3 linked regions of the Danio rerio genome follow. The protein of the gene in region 2 binds, or shares a complex with, the protein of the main gene of each other region. Links are inferred from orthologs where the notes say so. Each region holds a gene or a part of one and is shown on either strand. Other genes may lie near its edges. The genes, in order: pex5, pex14 and pex19.

Region 1 (6,921 bases), on a different chromosome or scaffold from region 2:
GTGGAGCAAACAAATTACTAGATAAAATAAGAATTTAATCGGTTGTCGGTTGCCAGAAGCAGCCCCGACTCTACAGACAGACTCGGGCCATATGTGGTGTAGCGAGTATATCGATGCCACGTCGCCCTGGTCTAAGATTCACCCCAGCTGGCACCTCATCAGCACCGGATCGCTTGCAGCTGGAACTCATCAGCCGGAGAGACATAAAAGCCAGCCCCACACACAAGGAAAACGAGCTTCATTCACACATGACTCCCTGCACTAACGCTTGTGTCTCTCTGTCTCTCCCACATCGGACTCCAGCTCGTGAACGATCCAGCACCCGAACTCTCACTATCCTTCACCTTCTCCCCGGAGCACCCGAGCACCAACACCAAGAAGAGCACCATATTTACACTATTTCACTTTGTAAATAAAGCACCCTCAGGGGACTTGTTTGTAACCAACGCAACTGTGTATGTGTTTTCCCTCTGCCTCGCTACAGTGGTTAACAGGAATCAGGCCAGTGCTTTACCGCCGTATCACAAACGCATGTGCGCGAGCGAGCTGCGGGCCATACTCGGCCCAGATAACACTTGCCGATGCCGAGTCAGAGCAAGAGGTGCCGAATGGACGATGGAAAAAATTGTCTTTTATTTAGCTCTTCGAAATATGCAAAGTTGTAGTAAAAGCAGTGAATGGTTTAGTCTGGATTTACCCCAAAGCAGTTTATGTAATAGTATGGCCCTGGTGTGTGTGTGTGTGTGTGTGTGTGTGTGTGTGTGTGTGTGTGTGTGTGTGTGTATAGTTGCAGATGTAGCCTTTTCCTGTGTGCGTACTGGTGTTGGAGAGAATAAAGTTATTCTATGTGAAGCCTGCATGTATTAATAGCCACAAAAAGCAAAAAGTTACAACATGAAGTTCGCCCAACTTCAAAATGCTTTTGAGGAGAATCTGGGAAAGGGCCATTATCGCACGAGAGAGATCTCAAGTCTTTAGGGAGCAAACTGTGGCGACTGACCACTTTCCTCCTCTGTGTTTCCTCTGATGTTGTTTACCGCGTCGGCATCTCCACACACGCTCTTCCTTCTGTCATTAAACCGTGGGGAAGCACAACATTGTCGCAAGTTTAATGATGAACAGAACGAAATGCCTCAATAAATCCGATCTGCCTGTTTACATGACAATCGCATTGTCACATATCCGATCTATATCTGATTTATTTCCACATATGAAGGAGGCCTGAAACCGCTCTCTTAATATCCGAATGCATGCGTTTTTTCGTGTTTACACGGTCATAGAACAGATCTGATCTGTGTCACATATGAGCAAAAAATCGGAATAGGGTCACATTTAACTAGCAGTGTAAACGGGGCCTTAGTGACCTCAGGCCTAAATTTTTCAATAAATAAACATGCTTTGTCCAAATGGACCCAATAAATATCTGGAAAAAAGCAACTGCTCCATTTGTTCAGGCTGGGCATTTCTTTCTTAGTGTGCAGAGTTGAGCAAAACGGTTGCAAACAACATGATGAATCTATGATTTATTAGGCTTTTAATAAAAAAATATCAATCCATCACTTAATTTTTTTTACAATAACCAGCAAACTATCCTAGGACTGAGAAGATGAACAGTAAGATGAGCTAACTCAAACCACATAGACTGGAGGCCCAGATACAATGAATTAATCTTTCCTGTCTCTTATTGACCTTATTCTGCTGACGAGTGGGCGCTGCCATTTGAATCTTTTTGGCAGGAGACTTCCGATCTCATTCACTTTCATTCATTTTTAGACATTAAAAACTGCTTGTTTCGCTGTTTGATGTTGCAAACTGATATTTCCTTGTTATATTATTCTACTTGGTCTGTATAGTCATGCAAACATTTGTTTGTAGAGCAAGTAGTTTGACAGTTTTTTTGCCGTTTATTATTCCTTGTCATTTCTCACATAGGCGACTGAAACGGAAGACAATCGCGAAAACAGGCGCACTTCCGCATTTTAGAATAAGGTCAATAAACTCAAAGATGCTTTATAGATTTGTTTAAGATGACACTGCTTGCGTTTTTGAGAATTACATGTAAGAAAATCAGTTTGTAACATTTAAATTATACTCAAATGATTCGAACTTCCCATTACTAGACTTATAGGCTATAGCTGCAGTCATTTTTTTTTCATTTTGAGTTATGCTTATATCAAATAATTCCCTGTATGTTGCAGACCTTGTACCTTTATTTTCTGTTTTCCCAGAAATGATTCTCTATTTCCCTGGGGAGTGCACAAACTGATAGAAGAGCACCATGGCTGATACTGAAATCTTGTGGGAGATAGAAAAGTGGGGCTGGGTTTGTGAAGAGCAAGTTAAAATTAGACCCAGAAATGACATATCTATTAAGCAGGGAATATTTTCAAGTCAATAAGTTATTATTTTAAATGTTTAAACTAATTAACTACTAAAACAATACAGTTGAAACTTTAGTAAATGGGTGAGTAGATGGTTTTTAGGTGAAACCACTCTTTAGGTGTAAATGAAAACAAACCTGTGGTGTGACAGAGAGTGCGGCAGAGAAACAGTCCACAGCCTTGTCATACTCTCCACTCAGATTAAAGAGAACACCCAGACCACACTGCAGCTCCGGGTCCACCTGCGAGGGCTCAGCCGCCGCTGCATTCAGAAACAACGTCTGCACTTCACCAAACAGTGCTCTAAGAGAAACAAACTCACATAAATTAATTCAAATACACACCATCATTAAAGCTCATGTTGTTTCAAAACCCTTCTGATATTCAAAACTATCCTAAGTCAAAATACAGTCATTTGTACAGTAACACTTTCAAGGGCCTTTTTTTCATGTCGTCCTCATTTTTGTTTTACAATCTTCTTTAAAGTCCTCTTTTTGTGCTATTAGGAATAAAAGGCCATAAGGATCATTCAGGTCTGTAATGAAATGGTAAGTAGCATCAGGTCATTAATCCAGAGTCGTTCAAAAAACTATTTTAAGATCTGCAGAGTATTTTCAGATGGCCACAATGCTGCGTGCAGATGTAAAGACACACCTGTGTTTGTGTTAGATGTATTTTTAGAGGAACTGCTCGCTTATGATTGTGACAAATGTAAATCTCTTGCTTGGTTACAATGTCCAGTCCAGTGACTTCTGCATGTCTCCAGCTGATGTACAAATGTGTTGAAAACTGGCGGCTGGAATTGAATACACATCTGATCAACGCACAGTGTCGAATAGTCAAGAACAGGGTTTAAAAAAGTATTTTAACAACACCTGTGGCATATTTGCGAAAAAAATTTCTGTCTCATTACTCAAGTTTGTTTATTGTTAAGCAGATATTATGGTTACAGTAACACACAAGGTGAACTGAATGCCAAAATGACACGTCATAATTTTGTGTGTTTATTACTTATTTTATGATTCTTAAAATATGTTTATTAATGAATAAAATTATAATAGCCAAGATTTTTTTTAGCTTTCACATTAATCAATCTCCGATCATCCATAATGACTTGTTTTAATGTAAATGTGACACTGGAGCACAGACATTTAGTTTTACATTTGCATAATTTAATTATTAGCTTTTCATTAACCCATCAATCTTTCATTTAACCAAATTTGACATATCCTGGCATATTGTAAAATTGAGTGAATGTCTTAATGATGTCAACAAAAAATGGAATAAACATCATTTATTATTGTTTGTTTTATAACAACAACTACATTTAAGCCTATGTTCTTAACAAGTTAGGTCAGAAGTAATCTAAAGGTAATTCACAAGTAATGAGAATACATTACGCCAGGGAGTCATTTAATAGATTATGTCGTCACCTTGGAACTATAAGGTTCTATCTGCATTCTTAATGATTTTAAGATAATGAGCTTTACAGTTTTTGTATTCCATAGGAAACAGTATGTGTGTAACATTTGTTTTTTAAATAAAAAGTCTTAAAATGTAATAATTAGTGTAAAAAAAACATCCCATAATGTAAATAAGTTTTCATTTAATAAGAATATGTGAATAACTCAATTTTGAAAAAAATGTCAGATAGAACATAATTCTACATTCTCACTGACTACATTTTTAAGAAGGTAATCAATGTGTAATCAGGAGCACTGTGTTAATATATTTACAAATCGTAATATTTTATTTTAATTTTAATAAATTTTTAAAGCATATATTTTCTCATAAAGGTTTTTGATTTTTATGTTTGATTATTTATTGCCACATCAGCAACTTATGGCAATTTAATGGCAAGATCCATATTTAAAAAAATGACATTATTACATAATAACAACTTCACAATTCAATAAGTAATTTTTCCCCTCGTAATTTAAAAACTTCATAATTCAATTATTTTATTTTTTACATTAAAAACATTAGGATTTTTTTAGCTCAATATATGATTTCCCTGTAAAGGTCAAACGGTATCATTTTTTTTTATTATCGCATCATTTTAATGTGCTGATTTACTGCTTAAGAGACATATTTTATTATTAATATTATTATTATCAATGTTATAAGCTATTGTACTGCTTAGCATTAGATTTGTATTGTTTTAAAATTTTGACGAAAAGTAAAACAACATAAAAGTCTTTGCTGTCTACAAAACCTAACAAAAAAAAAAAAAGAAATTAACATGATTTTTAGTTTATCATTTGGTATCAGAAGTGGCTTATTTGAAAGGCAAAGGGCTCTAGATTACACTTATTTTACCATAATAAAATATAATCAAGCTTAAATTTTTAATTTATTAATTAAGACAGTAAGGTCTGACTTTGCTTTGACAAAAGTCTTGTCTCTTAACAAAAGTAGAATATAAAATCATGGAAAAAGAATGAATATTGTGTATGACCCCTATCAGCTTGAAGGACTGCATCCATACATCTCCGCAATGACTCAAATAACTTGTTAATAAAGTCATCTGAAATGGCAAAGAAAGCGTTCTTGCAGGACTCCTAGAGTTCATCAAGATTCTTTGGATTCATTTTCAATGCCTCCTCTTTCATCTTAACTCAGACTTGCTCAATAAATGTTCATATCTGGTGACTGGGCTGACCAATCCTGGAGCACCTTGACCTTCTTTACATTCACTGAAAAAATCTAAGTTCTGCCATTTTTCCAAATGATTAACTAAAAGTTATTATTTGTTGCTCTTACAACTGGGATTGACGACAAGACATTTGTCAGGTAATGTATTATGACTACTATCTTTATAAGATATTAATGTACAGGACTGTGTACAAACTTCAGTTCTCAGTGTGGTGCAAAAATCATAACGTAGTGTTGCTCTTTGTCTACTGCACTCATGTAATGTACATCTTATACATCCAGCATGTGTCTGAACAGCCTTTAGGAGTCCTCTTACTCTGGCAGAAGGGATCCAAATCTTTCACTCTCTTTCTCTCTCTCCCTCGCCCCCTCCCTCTGCTTCTCTCGCTCATGCTGCTCCAGGATGATTCTGTATTTGGGGTTGTGCCTCAACCAGTCCCGGAGCGTCTCGCAGGCCTGTCTGTGAAGCGACTCGTTGGTGAAGCTCACAGCAAGAGCCATTAGAGCCGTCAGATTGTCCTTTTTTAGCTCTATACATCTGAAAACAACAATGGAGACTTTACATAAAAAAACAAAGTGCACACTGTTTTAATACATCAGATCGGTACAAGTAGGGAGAATTTTATGCGTTTAAATATATTTTATTAAGTAATTCATTAGGTGGTGCATTACAACTGTTTTTTATAATAAAAACACACAAATAAAACATACAACAGAAATGTTATTATGAAAAAAATACCTTTTATCATTTGGAGATATATAAAGTATCTCCAAATTATAAAAAAAACAGTAATGAAGACATAATAAATATTATTAATCACAAGTTTGCAAAGATCAACCCAAATATCAATCAAAATCTTGCAACAATAAATACAAAGAAGTAAATAAAAATAAATAGAAATATAAACGAACAAACAAACAAACGGGCGAACAAACGAACGGTCACCACTACTCTCACATGGTCAGTTCCTAGATGGGAGACCATATGAGAAGGCTGTTGCCAAAAGTGGTGTTAGTGAGACCAGCAGGGGGGGCTCTACATGCAGTTTGTGTGGGTCCTAACGCCCCAGTATATTGATGGGGACTCTGTGGTCGTTAAAAATCCCAGGATGTCCTTCGAATAAGAGTAGGGGTTTAACGCCCGCATCCTGGCTAAATTTGCCCACTGGCCTCAGTCCATCATTGCCTCCTAACCATCCCCATACCATAATTAGCTTCATCACTCTCCTCTCCACCAAGCTGGTGTGTGGTGTGCAATATGGCTGCAGTCACGTCATCCAGGTGGATGCTGCACACTGTTGGTGGATGAGAAGAATCTCCCCAAAAATGCAGTACAGGTGAATTGAGTAGGCTAAAATTGTCTGTAGTGTATGAGTGTGAATGAGTGTGTATGGATGTTTCCCAGAGATGGGTTGCAGCTGGGAAGGGCATCCGCTGCATAAAACATATGCTGGATAAGTTTGCAGTTCATTCCCCTGTGGCGACCCCAGATTAATAAAGGGACTAAGCTGAAAAGAAAATGAATGAATAAATGGTTCGCCATGCATTTTCAATGTCTCTAAAAACAAAAATATTTCAAAAGTTTTGTGATTTTGGAAACATAACAGAGGAGACAGACTGCAATCTATGAACTGACACTAGCCAACCAAAGCAGATGCACTCGGACGCAGATATATTTCCTACCTCCGGAGGGCGCTGATCGCAGCAAACTCCTGCTCGTTCTCCGCCTGGCAGGTGCCCAGATATTGCCAGGCCTGCAGTATCGTCAGACACGCACAGTCAGCGTTTCAGAAAGACATAGAAGGAAACAGAGCACTGTCAGAATCCCCAGAGATAAAATGTGCCATGAGTTTTGGATGTCAGGATTATAAGTATGAGTCTCTGA
Region 2 (6,921 bases):
ATGCGACGCTAAACAAAACAGGAATCCTGCTAAAATCCAAACAAAATGAGGGCCAGACGAGCTGCGTAACACAAAGGAGGGATTTTTTGCATATATGAACCAAAATGGCAATGAAGAGGCTCATTTGATAATCAGATAAAGAAACCCACATCAAGCTTGCACGCAATGGCTCAACAATCGACCTGGCCTTTCGGTAACCCTCCCCAATCCTGAAGCTGGCCAATGTAATGCAGAGACAGAGCTCACTGAAATCACTCGCCTTTATCCAGGAGATCAAAATAAGCAAATTTGGGGCATATAAGATAATGAAAACAATATTACATGCGTAACCGAAAACTAGACTGAGATCTGAAGTTATTGCTGTACATCCAGTTTATTTCCATGATTTTATAATGCCAAGATTAATAAAGCTAAACAGCAAGCATACTCGGGGTACGTCCATTTCATACATGACAACTGGTCTTTTATCTATTTTAAGTCATGAGTGCCTGTTTTGCATGTACTGTTTCGCCTTTACAGACCGTGTGTTCTATAGAAACAATTTTCCAAATTTAAATGTTTACATGGTATTGAGCCAGACTGGGAAGAACCACCTGTGGTCAGATTGTATTTATCTTTATTTTTAAACAGCACTGAGTCATTCACTTTTGCATTCTTTTCAGAGTAAAAACTTTGAATAAAAAATTGAATATTAAAAAAGTAAAGTTAAATAAAAAAAATAAGGTAATAAAGTGATGATATGCATAGGTATAAAAAAAAACAATACAGTAAAAGGACTTTAATTTACATAACAACAAAAAATAACTAATATTACTAATAAATTATGATTTTTTAAAAATTGTTATGATGATTAAATGCATTAAATTATTTTAAAATGTTTTAAAGCCTCTGATAAAAAAAATATAAATAATAAATACTTTAATATTGATATCATTTGGTTATTTTTAATACAAATGCATCCATATGCCCTCATTAACTTTCTTTGGACTTAGTCCCTGATTTATCAGGGGCCGCCACAGTGGAATGAACCACCAATTACTCTGGCATATGTTTTATCTGGCGGATGCCCATCCTGCCGCAAACTTGCATTGAGACATATCTTGAAGTATGGTAAAAAAAAAAAAAATTCATTTTATTTTCTTGTCGGCTTAGTCCCTTTATTAATCGGGGGTCGCCACAGCGGAATGAATTGCCAACTTATCCACCACGTTTTTACGCAGCGGATGCCCTTCCAGCCGCAACCCATCCCTGGGAAGGGAAACATCCACACACACACTCATACACTATGGACAATTTGCTTACCCATGAAGCTAATTAGCTTACCCAATTAAGCTGTGCCGGATGTCTTTGGACTGTGGGGAAAACCAGAGCACCCGGAGGAAACCCACGCGAACGCAGAGAGAACATGCAAACTTCACACAGAAACGCCAACTGAGCAGAGGTTCGAACCAGCGACCTTCTTGCTGTGAAGCAACAGCACTACCTACTGCGCCACTGCTTCGCCAAAAATAACATTGATAACCTCACTCACCCTCAAGTGAGTTTAAACCTTTATGAGTTTATGAGCATCTTTTGTTGAACACAAAAGTATAACACAAAAGTATAAACAGTATATATATATATATATATATATATATATATATAGAAGAAAGCTAAAAACGTAACCATTGACTTCCATAGTAGGAAAAAAACAACAAATACTATGCAAATCTGTAGTTTCAGGTTTCTAGTTTGATTCTGAATATGTTCTTTTTGTGTTCAACAAAAGAAAGAAACTCAAACAGATTTGGAACAACATAATTTTCTTTTTTGGATGAACTATCCCTTTAACTTTATAAACTTTACAAAAAAAAAAACAGATAACTCAAATATCTTGACACATTTTTTTTCTACATTTGTCTACAAAAGAAATAAATTCAGACAGTAAAGAACAACCCTTAAGAACAAAAGCAGGAATATGAAAGCTCTAATATAGTAAGCTGCAGGAGTCATTTTGTATTGTTTCTTTACAATGATAAAAACAAAACATAAGAGTGTCTTCTTCTTTGTGAATTGTCATTTACACAGAAGACGACACCCAGCTGCAAGTCACTAACGAGCCAAAGTTTCTTCGGGAAGTGTCCCGCTTTCATGGTTGCCGGGATGTTTAATTACACCGGCTGCGTAGTGGGTAAAGAGAGGGGGAGGAGGAGGAGAGGCATCCCTCTCTGACAGCCGAGCTGAGATTCCTCACCTGTCCAAGGCGGGAGACGCACCTGTCATCGCACACTTAATCACCAGCGCGCTCCGGGCCCAACCGGGGAGCCACACCACCACGCCAAAATTAAAATGAACTTTCTTGCCACGCAGTTAAGAAGGCAAGAAGAAAAAAAAAGAAAGAGAAACGCTGTCATTCCTCTTCCCCTCATTAATATTCTGAGGTTAAGAGCTTTTCAGCGAAACGTAATTAATTGAAGCTGAGCTGACAGTAAACAAGCAATTTCAAATTAAAGCAAAATGACAGGACCGTCATTTGTAAAATGTGAGCAGATTTTGGCGACAGATAAATGAAGGAAAATGTTAAGGAGGAAAAAGTGATGAAGATATTAATCTTCACCTGTCTGTGTCAGCGTGCCACTCATATCCGCGATGTTGCTCTCGATCCGCTGCAGATGCTTCTTGTCCTCTTTGCTGCCCATAATGAGGGGAAGGATGTATTTCTGCAATTAAAAACACGGCACGTTATTAGAATTCCTCTCAGGAACAGGAAAAACAGGCCTGTGGACTGGGACTCACTCATGTCACCATACAGACAAAAGGCTATCTACTAGCGTTAGCGTGCTTAAACAAAAACTAATCAAAAATTCTGATCAAAAATTGTTATGAATTATTAATTAACAGGACCTATTTTGCACCTTTTTACAAGATGTAATACAAGTCTCAGAAGGCCCTAGAAAGAAGATTTCTTATTGACCTTATTCTAAAATGCAGAAGTGCGCCTGTTTTCGCGATTGTCTTAGAACTTCCGATTCAGTCGCCTATGGGAGAAATGACTAGGAATAATAAACGGCAGAAAACGGTCAAACTACCTGCTCTACAAACAAATGTTTGCATGACTATACAGACCAAGTAGAATAATAAAATTAGAAAATATCAAATTGCAACATCAAGCAGCCTAATGAGCAGTTTTTAACGTCAAAATATGAATGGAAGTGAATGAGACCGGAAGTCTCAAGCCAAAAAGATTCAAATGGCAGCGCCCGCTCGTCGGCAGAGAATAAGGTGAATAGAGTAGCATGCTAAAGATGCCCATTTTGCTATTGTGTGTGTTCCTTTAAATGCAAATGAGCTGCAGTTTTCTGCCCCTTTACAGAAGGCAGAGCCTTTACAACCATGGCTCAGATACTCTCAAGAGATCTGTTTGGTTTTATAATGTATCATGTCATCATACTCATCATACTCATGTGATATTGCTAGTTCTTTACATCACTGAAGTTTAAATTCTGCATGGATTTGTAAGACTTGTCAGTTTAAACATTTTTTTTTACACGTATTTACATAAAAAGTTGAATACAACATTTCTTTTTACTTAAACGAGTTCTTTTTTTAGCATTTAATTGTGCATAAACTGTCAAAATCTCAAGCTTCAACCTGATTAATATTTTGTGGAAATCCTAATTAATTTTTTCAGGACTCTAAAAAGATTATAAGAGCAGCGTTCATTTGCAACAGAAATCTTTGATAACATGTTATTACTGTAATGTTTTGACCAAGAGCCCCTTTAAATACATCCTTAATGAATAAAGGAACTATTGCGTATCATTTTTAGATTCAGTATTTTTCTGAAACAATAACAAGGGTTTTTGAACAATCACAATTAGGGGAAAGAATATTGAGCAAATACATTTTTACAGAACAAATTTCACACTAAATTCAAATGTAATTTATTTAATTTTTCTATTTAAATAATTAATTCTATTTAATAAATTAATTAGAGATGTAATGATTCACCAAGAGCAGGTTGGAAATCGGTTAAAATACGTGACGATTCAAACCAGTAGAAATGTTGAAAGAATTGCAATACATTTTTTGAACAGAAGATGACGCTGTGTTTACAGGCGCAAACTTTCGAGCAAGAGGTGGGGCGGTAGTTTAAAATGACACCGGTGAGGTGCCCCAGACAAACACAAACTGTGTGCAAATACTGAAAAAGACGTTTACTTACACTAACAGAACAATAAATATGATGCAGCATAGTGAAAAACTACTGTGACAGACGTTTACACGCAAAAAGCTATTAATAGGCCAAACCACGCGGACCAGGGGATTGGCATCTCCGCTTGCTCCGACGAGTGCTAATGTTGTGGAGATCACACGGCGCATCAGTGTTTTCATAGCCAAAATGTAAAGATGTTTTTCAGACTAAAAGAGAAAAGTTGTTGAAAATCATGACAAAATCATGTATTTTGATATTAGTATCATGAATCGTATCGTATCGCAGCATTAGGTGAATCATTACATCACTTTTTACCACAAAAAAAAGTCCTAGAAGTCTGAATCAGAGATTCAAATGGCTTTTTCTCTGGAAGTAAATGAAGTAATTTAATATTGAAGCTACATTTATGACGGGCTAGATAAACACAGCATGTTTTTATATAGATTACAGTACATCAACACAATATATTAAACAAGGAGGGGAAAAAAATAAATGAATTTTACACGGTACTATTGTTTATGCTTGATGCTTGATTTCACAGTATCGAGTTCGGCACTGAGTTTGGCAACAGCAGATAAAACATCATTATATGAATTACAATTAATAGGCCTGCATTCATGCTGAAAAAAACAAGACCTTTCATTATTATTTTTTTTTAATCCCTCTCAAAAGTCTTGTGGTTTTCTCACTTCATCCACAGCAATTTGCCTCAATGGCTGACACTGAGGCCGAGAATTAAGCATCGGGGCATGACTCTGGGTTCAACATCATTAAGTCTTTTAGCCCACAGGCTGGCTTCTCCATTTAAACATGTCACCTTCTGAGGACAATTGCTTGTCAGGATTTAAGCCTCGTAGAACAACATCTCCAAACACCGAGAATAAGAACCAAAGGTCACACGGCTGACGCTTCCATGAGCTCCTCACGCAGTCGTTGTTTTATTTCCGAACGTGCACGTCGATTTGTTGCTCTCAACAAACAAACAGCACATAGACAAGAAGATTAACACGGCATTTGGTGAATAGCTGGGTGCTTTAAAGCGTAATGTGCATGCGCAGGCTCTCCGTCTGGAAAACAGTTGGCCTTAACAGGTTTTCACAGCAGCACAAGCGTTGTTGACACCGGCGTAAGTAATAAACACTTTTAAGTTGAAAAAATCAGAATGAGTGTCAACACTGGGGTAGTTAATAAGCGAGCTGCTGTGAGCTCTGTTTACAATGTGCTCTATTATAGCATAAATAAGGTAGAGGAGGAGGAGGACGGGGCATATGGTGGCACCGGTGAGACGGTCCTCTGACATGACAGCAGCGAGAGCTTCGCAACAGGGAACTGGACCTCCAGCCACGGGCACAGATCCTATGAACAGCAGAGATGCACGCGGGGGACTGGAGGACCACAAATTGTGTGCGTGTTTGTTTGTATGAAACACAGAGGACTAAAAAGAAAAAGGAGTGGATAGTTTACCCAAAAATGGTTTACTCAAGTATTTACTCCCCCTCAAGTGGTTCAAAAACTTTTTATGCTTATTTTTTTTCTGCTGAGCACAAAAGATAATCTTTTGAAGAATGTGGAAATTACTAGCCGTTGACATCCACAGTAAGAAAAAGTTTGGATCAAGTGAAGAGTGAGTAAATGATGATCAGGTTTCAGATTTTTACAATTTTATATCCCTTTAATGAGAGTAATTATAAACCCAATTTAGCATTTTTAATGTGTGTGATACTTTACTTTTACATTCACACCAGGAGTGACTTTATTGATTGATTGATTAAATGATTCATTCATTTATTCCTTCGTTGACTCCTTTCATTGGTTCATTGTTTGATTCATTGGTTGATCCATTCATTGATTGATTGACTAACTCAATTATTCATTAATTCATTCACCAATTCATTCATTCATTGTTTCATTAGTTTGTTCATTGATTCATTCAATAATTAATATATTTATTGATTGATCCATTCATTAATTGAATAATTCAATTATTCATTAATTCATTCACCAATTCATTCGTTCATTATTTAATTCATTCATTCATTTATAGATTTGTTGATTAATCCATGCATTTAGTGATTAATTTATTGATTCGTTAATTAATTTACCGATTCATTTATTCATTAATTTATTTACTGATTCATTCATTCATTGATTCATTCATTTATAGATTCACTGATTGATTTATTGATAGATTGATTTATTCATTCATTGATTCATTCATTGGTTTAATAATTAACTTATTAATTAATTCACTGATTCATTCATAGATTCATTCATTCATTCACTGATTGATTCATTTCTTTGCTGATTCATTTATTCATAAATAGATTCATTGATCCATTGATTGCTTGATTGATTCATTCACTGATTCACTCATTTATTCATTCCTTTATTGATTTATTCATTAATTCATATATTCATTGACTCATTGAATGAATAAATTACTCATTCATTCATTCATTCATTCATTCATTCATTCAATCATTCATTCAATCATTCATTCATTCTTGAATATATCTAGGTCCAAGTCAACAAAGGGCCAGACCAAATGTTTCTGTATTGATATACTTTAAAATGCAATTTATTTAGAAAGCTGAATTTTGAGCAGCCATTACAGTTTGGGAAAATCGTATTTCTAATCTTGCAAATTTTCACACAGCTCAGCAAACCAATAATATTTAGAAACTCAGTGGTCCCTCATAATTCATGGGAGTTACGTTCTAAAAATA
Region 3 (7,472 bases), on a different chromosome or scaffold from region 2:
TTCCTGAGTTTTAGCTGAGGCAGTACTATTGCATTAAATTCTGTTTTCTGAAGTAATGGATTAGAATAATTCATCTATGTATTTTGTCTTTTTTTTGTTATAACTACTATTATAACTACTTTATTAAAACTACTATACCACACTGTAATGTATATATTTTTTCTTTTGATGATTTGATGTCTTTTAAACTGTTTCCCAGTATTGGGCTGCAGCTGGAAGGGCACTTGGAAGTTGGCAACTATTTTAGTTGGAAGTTGGTCTAGTTTGAATAGTTGGCAGTTAATTCTCCTGTGGCAACTCCTGATTACAAAGAGACTAAACCAAAGAAAAATGAATGAATATTTTTTTAAAAGATAAGAAGAAACTTATCCATTTTTATTATAAGTTTATGGAGTATATAATGTTAAATCGGAATATAGATATTTTTAATTAAAGGTGCACTCACACTAGGGTGTCCATACCATGCCTGGGCACATTTTTCTGGTTTGTTTGACAAGTTTGAGTGCTCCCAATCGGGTCCAGGTGCTATTCAGTTGGTTGGCCCTGGCCCGGTTGGAAGAGGTCTGCCAGAGCGCAGTTCAGTTGGACTTTTGGTGCGGTATGTTTGTAGTGTGAGTGCAAAGCGCGGCTGAGCCCGAAAGCGAAGATACAACGTCACTTTTAAGGGACTGTTTAATATGGATTTATTGATCATTCTTCCTTTTAAACAAACACGAACTGTGATAGTTTTTTTAAAGACGCAAACCTCTCGCTGCACGTCAGCTGCCACCTTCAGCAAACCTCTTAACACGTGCAACACAAGGACTTATATTATAATATATCAACATCAAAAGTTGTGGATCTGTTCCACAAAATAATTGGCTGATTGTCACTGCATCCCAAACGACTGAAAGTAATACAAAACTTTTGATTGTATTTTATCTGGAAAATGTATTTAAACTGTTTAGACATTGTGATATTTAAGGAAATATTGTGTTAATTTTCTCACCCTCAGACCATCCAACATGTATATGTGACTTGTTTGCTTCAGTATAACAGTAAAGAAGTGAATGTTAGCTAAACCTGTAATCCTTGGTGATTTTTAAAGCTAAATAAAGGAAGTTAACTGCTTCTGACACTTGGCAAGAGTCAAAAAATGACATACAGGCAATCAGAATTTATTAGAAATCTGTTAACTTAAAACTGTGGCCCTTGACAGTACATTTTGGTCTTTAATGTTCTGCTACAGAAAAAAAGTCACGTACATCCTGAATGGGTTGCAGCTTCAAAGGCATTAGCATGTGTAAAACATATCCTGGCTAAGTTGGCGGTTCATTCAGCTGTGGTGACCCCTGATGAATAAAGGGATTAAGCCAAAGGAAAATAAATGAATGACTTTGTTATGATCAACAATCACATTTTGTTTTGTTTTTCTATTCCAGGCCTGTCAGGTTAAACTTAAGGAGCTATTACTACTTGTGGTGCACATCATCCACATAACATCTTTAGTGGTTCTTGTTTTGCTGGTGAGCTCTGTGATTTGAGTAATAATTCATTTATTTATTATTGAAGTGTATAATATATTTACAGTGTATAGATTTGATGTCAATTCTAACCATTCCCCACTTTAGGTATTGTCTTGGATTACAGTGGGACAGCTAATGAGATACCCAGTCCCACAAGAGTATCGAATTCTGGACCAGGACTAAAAACATCCAAATATCTTTAAACAATATTCCTAAATGCCTGCATATTACATTTTAATGTCTTTTTATATATCACTTGTTATTATCTATTCTAATACATAAAGCACTCCATGTTTTCCTGAATTTCTAAGGTGTGACTATTCATATTTTTATAGATGTTTTATTTACACACCAAGGCATTTACTTTGCACAATAAAATAGATACTACTGAATAAAAAATTTGTTTGTTTTTTAATGTTGGCTACAAATGCATTGCTGGCTGTTGGTAAAAATGAAGACAATGGGGTATATGCACACAGATTTTTAATTTCAGTCAGCCAGAATCTAGTTCATGCTCTATGGTCTTGTACAAAAAATTCTAGATTTCTGGAAAAGAGTTCATAAACACATTTGTTTGGTTGTAGATTTTTATATCACATTATGCCCTAGACTATACTAGGTGGTTAGGTGGTTGGATAGACATTGAAATAAAAAATTAAGACATAAAATCCTGGGTCCAAACCAGTTTGCTGATTGGGAGACAAATAATTCTCATGAGTTTGAAATCAGAGGATGCCCCTTCCCTTCAAAAATGGCCGGTAGAACTTGCTAGAGTGGCCACATTTGGAAGAAAATGTCTTATAAGCAAATGGACTAAAGCTAAACCTAAACTATAAAACTGGTCCAAGTACTTAACCTGTTTGTAAATGGAATAGTAATAAATGTGTGAGAAACATACTGATTGTGACAGTGTAACTGTGATATGTTATTGACTGAACTTACCTATTCATTTTTTTTATTGTATTTTATTTTCTCTTTATTATATAAAGATGGAGGCTTTAACTGTATTTAATGACAGCTAAGCCGAGACCTTAAAGTCGTAGTTAGGGATTAGTTTGGGTTGGGTTTGTTAATAGGGTAAACTGTTGGTTCTTTACAGAGTTATATACTGTATTCCATTCTGAAATTTGCCCGAGAATCAATAAAACTATTAAACTCTGAAAAATCTGTGATCATCACTGCCTGATAGATATCCGGGATAAAGTGGGTCTCAGATTGGATGAGAAGCACTGCACAGCCATGTCTTTAAAACATTTATTTTACCACAGTATTTTCAATTGAGTCTCTGCGCTAGCCTGCTGCTAATGACGGCCCCTACCTTTATTTAAATGGTCTTACATCCCTTTTTACTCTTTAACAACCAAAACGAATGCTTAAGTCTATTTAACCGATTATATTTGAATCACATTACGACATTGATGCGGTAAAAAGAACCGTATGAAACTGAAAATAGTCACATACACCTTTCACTGGAAATTCATTAGCTGAAAAACAGCTGTGCATATAGACCATTGTTCAACAAGACAACATTTTTAAAATCAGATTTAAGTTCTCATTTTTCCTGTATCATGAATTTTGTTTCATTGCAGGGCAAATATCACACATTTATTTGGGTCAGCAGAAAAAAATGCTAATTATATTTTGTGAAAGTATTTCAGAGCTTCAACTACTTACAGACCCGTAGCCAGAGTGGATTTGTGTAGTTCGAAAGACCCACCCCCCCCACAGACAAAGGTCCAGATTTTGTATCATACGTGAGCTCATTTGTCCCATTTTGATTGCTAAGCCATCATAAATTGTGAAATTAAGATATCAATAGCTTTAAGACCAAGCAGAATGTGTCATAAATGAAGTCATCTTTCACCACTGACATATTGTATTGTTGTTAAATAGCAAAAACATTTTACAATGAACTTTTATTCTAAGTCTTGAACCTTATTTTTGAAAGAAAAAATGACCAATAAAAAAGTGTAAAGCACCTAGACGTTAATTATAATAATGATTTGACTATTGTTGTAATCGATGAATTTTCAAATGTACTATTTTTTACAAAAGAGGCTGGAAAATTGTCAAGCTCTACATTATTATCATTACTGTTTTAATGATTCAATATTCAAATGGAAAAATTCTGCCTGAGGAAATTGAATTTGATGCTCAGTTTGTTATTTGCCTAATAAATGACAACCATTTTAAATTTAAAACTTTAACAGATTACATTTTTTTCTAATTATATAGGATAAGTTAGGGTAATAAAGTTAAGTATATTAAGTTAAAAATAAGTATTTTTTCTTCATGTTTCTTCATTTTAAATCTTTAGTAAATATTTTTAGTACATCAAAAAGTGTGGTATGTTGACCATCTGATAAGCTAATCCAGCTAAAATAATGCTTAAAATATCTCTAAATCAGCATTTAAACCTCACAATTAAAAAGAAAATGAAGCGAATAACTGCAAAAAGGTCCACTTTTTAGAAAAAGAAAACCATCCCTTTCACCAGGCTGGCTACGAGCCTGATTTAGACTATATCAAATATCGGCCAGTGTCAACGTATTTATTCATCTACTGTATTTTTTGTCATTTTCTACAATGTTTATTCTTGCTATTTGTTCTTATTCCTCGTTTGAGTGTGTTCGTCTTGTTCGCATCATGACGGGAGATTCTTTAGATGCTTCATGTTTACTTACTTGTGCTGTAAAATCTTCCCCCAAATAAAAAGAAATGGAAAAACGACAATAGAAGAGACAAAAACACGTAAAAACTATCTAGTTGTATCATAAGCGGCGGTTTATCTGCATTTGAATGGATTGCGAATGTGGGAGGGGTCGAGACTTCCGCTTCCTCTGCTGAGCTCCCTTGTGGCGTGTTTTTTGTGTCACAAGAGCGCAGCGCCAAAAAGCCACGTTCCGCTAAAGCTCCGCGTGCGTTCATTCATCTGCAGATTCGGAGAGACGTTGAAGTCGGTAAGGGTCCAAATATACATGTAACGTGTGTTTATGTCTTTAAAGTTGCGTTTAATCGTGTTTATCAGGGTTTAGTAACGTTATAACCCCTTCGGTGTCTGAGGCCTGGCTTTATGCGGGTTAGGCCTCTTAGCGCAGCCTGCTCGAGTTTGAACTCGAGAGTTGCATGGGATTTACAGGACGAGTCATCGCGAAAATACGGGGACGGTGTGTGGGGATTGAGGCCTCGTGTTGGATGCTGTTTTGATGTTAGATATATTTTGCAGCCTTTACTTACATTTTTAAGCATGCTGTGTAATTCTACAAGGTTGTATTTCTGTAGCTAAGAGACGAAACCTTAACAATGGCGAGGTAATCTTACACCAGCATGACCGGAAGAGCGACGTCCTGCTGCGGGCGGCTTGTAAAATGTACGCCCCCACGACTAGACTGAATTACAAAAACTCTTTGTTTCATTTATGAGAAACTAACAGAGGCAGAAAAGTGTAGCGAGTGTTTTTTTTTATTCCAGTGCTTTTTTAGTAACGTCCACCGCCTTAAATGTTGCATAAATTGTGTCGTGAACAAATGAATGAAATGATACCGAACTGTACCTGGAGCCGCTTTGTTCACTCAATAGGTGGAGAGAAAATGTTTTCTCACGTTGTCTGCTTTAATTTATGATTATAATTGTTCATTTCTTTATGAAAAGGAATGTATAACGTATTGTGTACTTGAAAAATGTTTCACAAAATGCGAGATTTTTTGCCATGACAATGTGGGTCTGAAGAGAGAAATGAAATGTATTTTACATTTGTGTAAATGTGGTAATACAATTTGGGTAATATTTATGATTATTTATGATTATACGCCTTTATTTGTGGACAGTTTCATCTCTACTTCTGGAGAGGTCTGTAGAATAGAAATTCACTGTTGTTATGTTGAAAGGAAAGCAAATGTGTAGAATAAATAATTTATTGTATAGTGTAAATTATGCATGAACAAAATTCTACAAAATGAAGAATAATTACAACAATACTTACATTCAACACCATTAAACAACAATAAAAAGCCATTGAGGAATAATATACAGGTAAGACAACATAGGTCTGTAAGTAGGCATGGGATGATAACCAGTTTCAAGGTTTGGAAAGGTCAAGGTGGGTTTTTTTTTCTTTGTTTTTTATAAATGTGTAGTAAAGAAATCTGTGTTTGAAATGAGGCTGGGTTAATAATCTATATTAAATCAAATCTTGATAATTAGTCAATAATAATAAGCTCTGGACTTTTTTCCACTCTATATTGATCTAAGAGCCGATCACACAGCAGAAAATGCAATAATGGTAATCTAAAAGTGTGTTGTTATTAACACGGGGTCTTGAAATGTCCTTAATTCCAAAAGCTACATTTTTGGCCTTAAGTCTTAAATCTACCAATATATTGTGTTGTGGGTCTTAAATCTTTTTTTTTTATAACAGGTCTTAATTTTCTTTTGTTCACGTATATCTTCCCAATCTGGCCATTAACATACGAGCATACAACAATGTATGCTCATACAATCACCAACAATCTCAATACAATTTTTATTTATTTAAATATAGCATTTTTAACGCCATTTAACAATGTTTTTTTATTACTTCCAGTAAAATTTGTTTAGTAGTTTTGCATTTATTTACTGCAGAGTATACTGACCAAAGCTATATTTTTTATTATTTAATTATTATTGTTGTATTAAATGTATTCAATTCTGAAAATTTTTTGATTAGGCAAGTGAAAATCTTTTTCTGGCATATTCCAAAAAATTCTTAGCATTTACCTTGTATAAGTTTAAAATTTTATTCATAATTGTCTTAAAACGTCTTAAAAACTCTTAAATTTAACTTGATAAAACCTGCAGAAACCCTGTATTAGAGATGTATTGAATTTTCAGCCACTGAAAATTTATCTGCCGAAATTTTTTTGCTATTTCTTGAACTAATTTTTATGGCTTCAGTCATTGTTGAGATACTCTTTTTAAATCTGGAAACATTAACAACTTGTATCAAAAAATATATCGTTATCGTTTAATATAGAAAGTAATTATCAAGATTGCGTTTTTGCATATTGCCCAGCCCTAGTTTGAAACTAATGAAGGGAGCAGAAATCAATGATTTATTTTTATTGTATAGGCTGACATGTTTACAGCTCAAATATTAGAAATGTTTCCCAAAATAAAATTTATTTTGTTCAATGGTGAACTGTTTTTTTTTTTTTTTTCGTTTGTTTTTCAGATATTTAAAAGTACCTATTTTAGAGTACAGTGGTATTTCTATTAAAGGTTATCTTGCCATCAGAAACTTATACCGACCTATGCCTATCTGTAAGTGCAGGAAAATCTGCAAATAACTACATGTAATATTGACATTGCAGTATTTGCATTTTTAGAGTTTTTTTCCCATTTCCAGAAGTGTTTCTTTAAGGGGAAAAAAGCTCATTATTATTTATAAAGAACACCATGTATTCTCAGATTTGTGTGAAGGCAGAATAGACTCAAAGTGAGGTGCTAAAAATACACGCTGAAACAACACTTCTTAATGGCCGATGGTTGTTATTCTTTTTCCACAGGTTATTTCAGAAGGTGGCTCGTCTTTATCTCTTTGCCCTTCTTTTATTTTAGTTTATTTCTTTTAACTCTGAACCCCAAACCCGCCCTCTTTCCTACCACCCCTTTTCGTCAGCGTGTATTTTTATTACCTTATTTTGTTTTTGGTATCTTCAGAGTCGGGATCTGTGACGGCTCTACATGGCAGTCAGAAGGGGACACGTTAGATACTTAAAAGTGAGTAGAATTTGCGTCCATCAGGGACTGAATGTCGATTGAAATTTATTTAATTTTGTCGTTATTCTGAAACTGTACGCAGGACTTAGTGGTGTTCAGTGCTTGTAGGCTGTTTTCGTCCTTGTAGTTCTGTAGCCTGTGATAAGCGAGTAATACTTCTACTGTAATATCAGATTAGTATTTTCAGTAGATGCTGTAGAATCATTAATT

What was found.
Region 1: the proteins of pex14 (region 2) and pex5 are in contact, whole or in part, in an NMR structure (PDB 4BXU), measured with the Homo sapiens proteins. The link is inferred for Danio rerio from reciprocal best matches to the Homo sapiens genes PEX14 and PEX5. Residues at the interface, in NP_004556.1 of Homo sapiens: Thr31, Phe35, Asn38, Arg40, Val41, Ser44, Pro45, Thr48, Arg49, Phe52, Lys55, Lys56; in NP_001124497.1 of Homo sapiens: Glu59, Leu62, Val63, Glu65, Phe66, Leu67, Gln70.
Region 3: the proteins of pex14 (region 2) and pex19 are in contact, whole or in part, in an NMR structure (PDB 2W85), measured with the Homo sapiens proteins. The link is inferred for Danio rerio from reciprocal best matches to the Homo sapiens genes PEX14 and PEX19. Residues at the interface, in NP_004556.1 of Homo sapiens: Leu28, Thr31, Ala32, Lys34, Phe35, Asn38, Ser39, Arg40, Val41, Ser44, Thr48, Phe52, Lys56, Leu58; in NP_002848.1 of Homo sapiens: Gln67, Phe70, Phe71, Leu74, Phe75, Ser77.

Annotation. Positions count from the first base shown.
Region 1 is NC_133191.1:12,421,163-12,428,083, forward strand, and holds part of pex5 (peroxisomal biogenesis factor 5), read right to left. Parts: intron 6,791-6,921; coding exon 6,720-6,790; intron 5,575-6,719; coding exon 5,353-5,574; intron 2,685-5,352; coding exon 2,519-2,684; exon of another isoform or gene 1,797-2,518; intron 1,741-1,796; exon of another isoform or gene 1-1,740.
Region 2 is NC_133198.1:31,827,573-31,834,493, reverse strand, and holds part of pex14 (peroxisomal membrane protein PEX14), read right to left. Parts: intron 2,700-6,921; coding exon 2,597-2,699; intron 1-2,596. UniProt on the Homo sapiens protein: Component of the PEX13-PEX14 docking complex, a translocon channel that specifically mediates the import of peroxisomal cargo proteins bound to PEX5 receptor.
Region 3 is NC_133177.1:40,110,531-40,118,002, reverse strand, and holds the start of pex19 (peroxisomal biogenesis factor 19), read right to left. Parts: upstream 4,453-7,472; 5' UTR 4,434-4,452; coding exon 4,190-4,433; intron 2,671-4,189; exon of another isoform or gene 1,689-2,670; coding exon of another isoform or gene 1,611-1,688; intron 1,506-1,610; coding exon of another isoform or gene 1,422-1,505; intron 1-1,421. Other genes in the region: tspan37 (tetraspanin 37), read left to right, coding at 1,422-1,505, 1,611-1,688; elavl1a (ELAV-like protein 1a), read left to right, coding at 7,227-7,262. UniProt on the Homo sapiens protein: Necessary for early peroxisomal biogenesis. Acts both as a cytosolic chaperone and as an import receptor for peroxisomal membrane proteins (PMPs).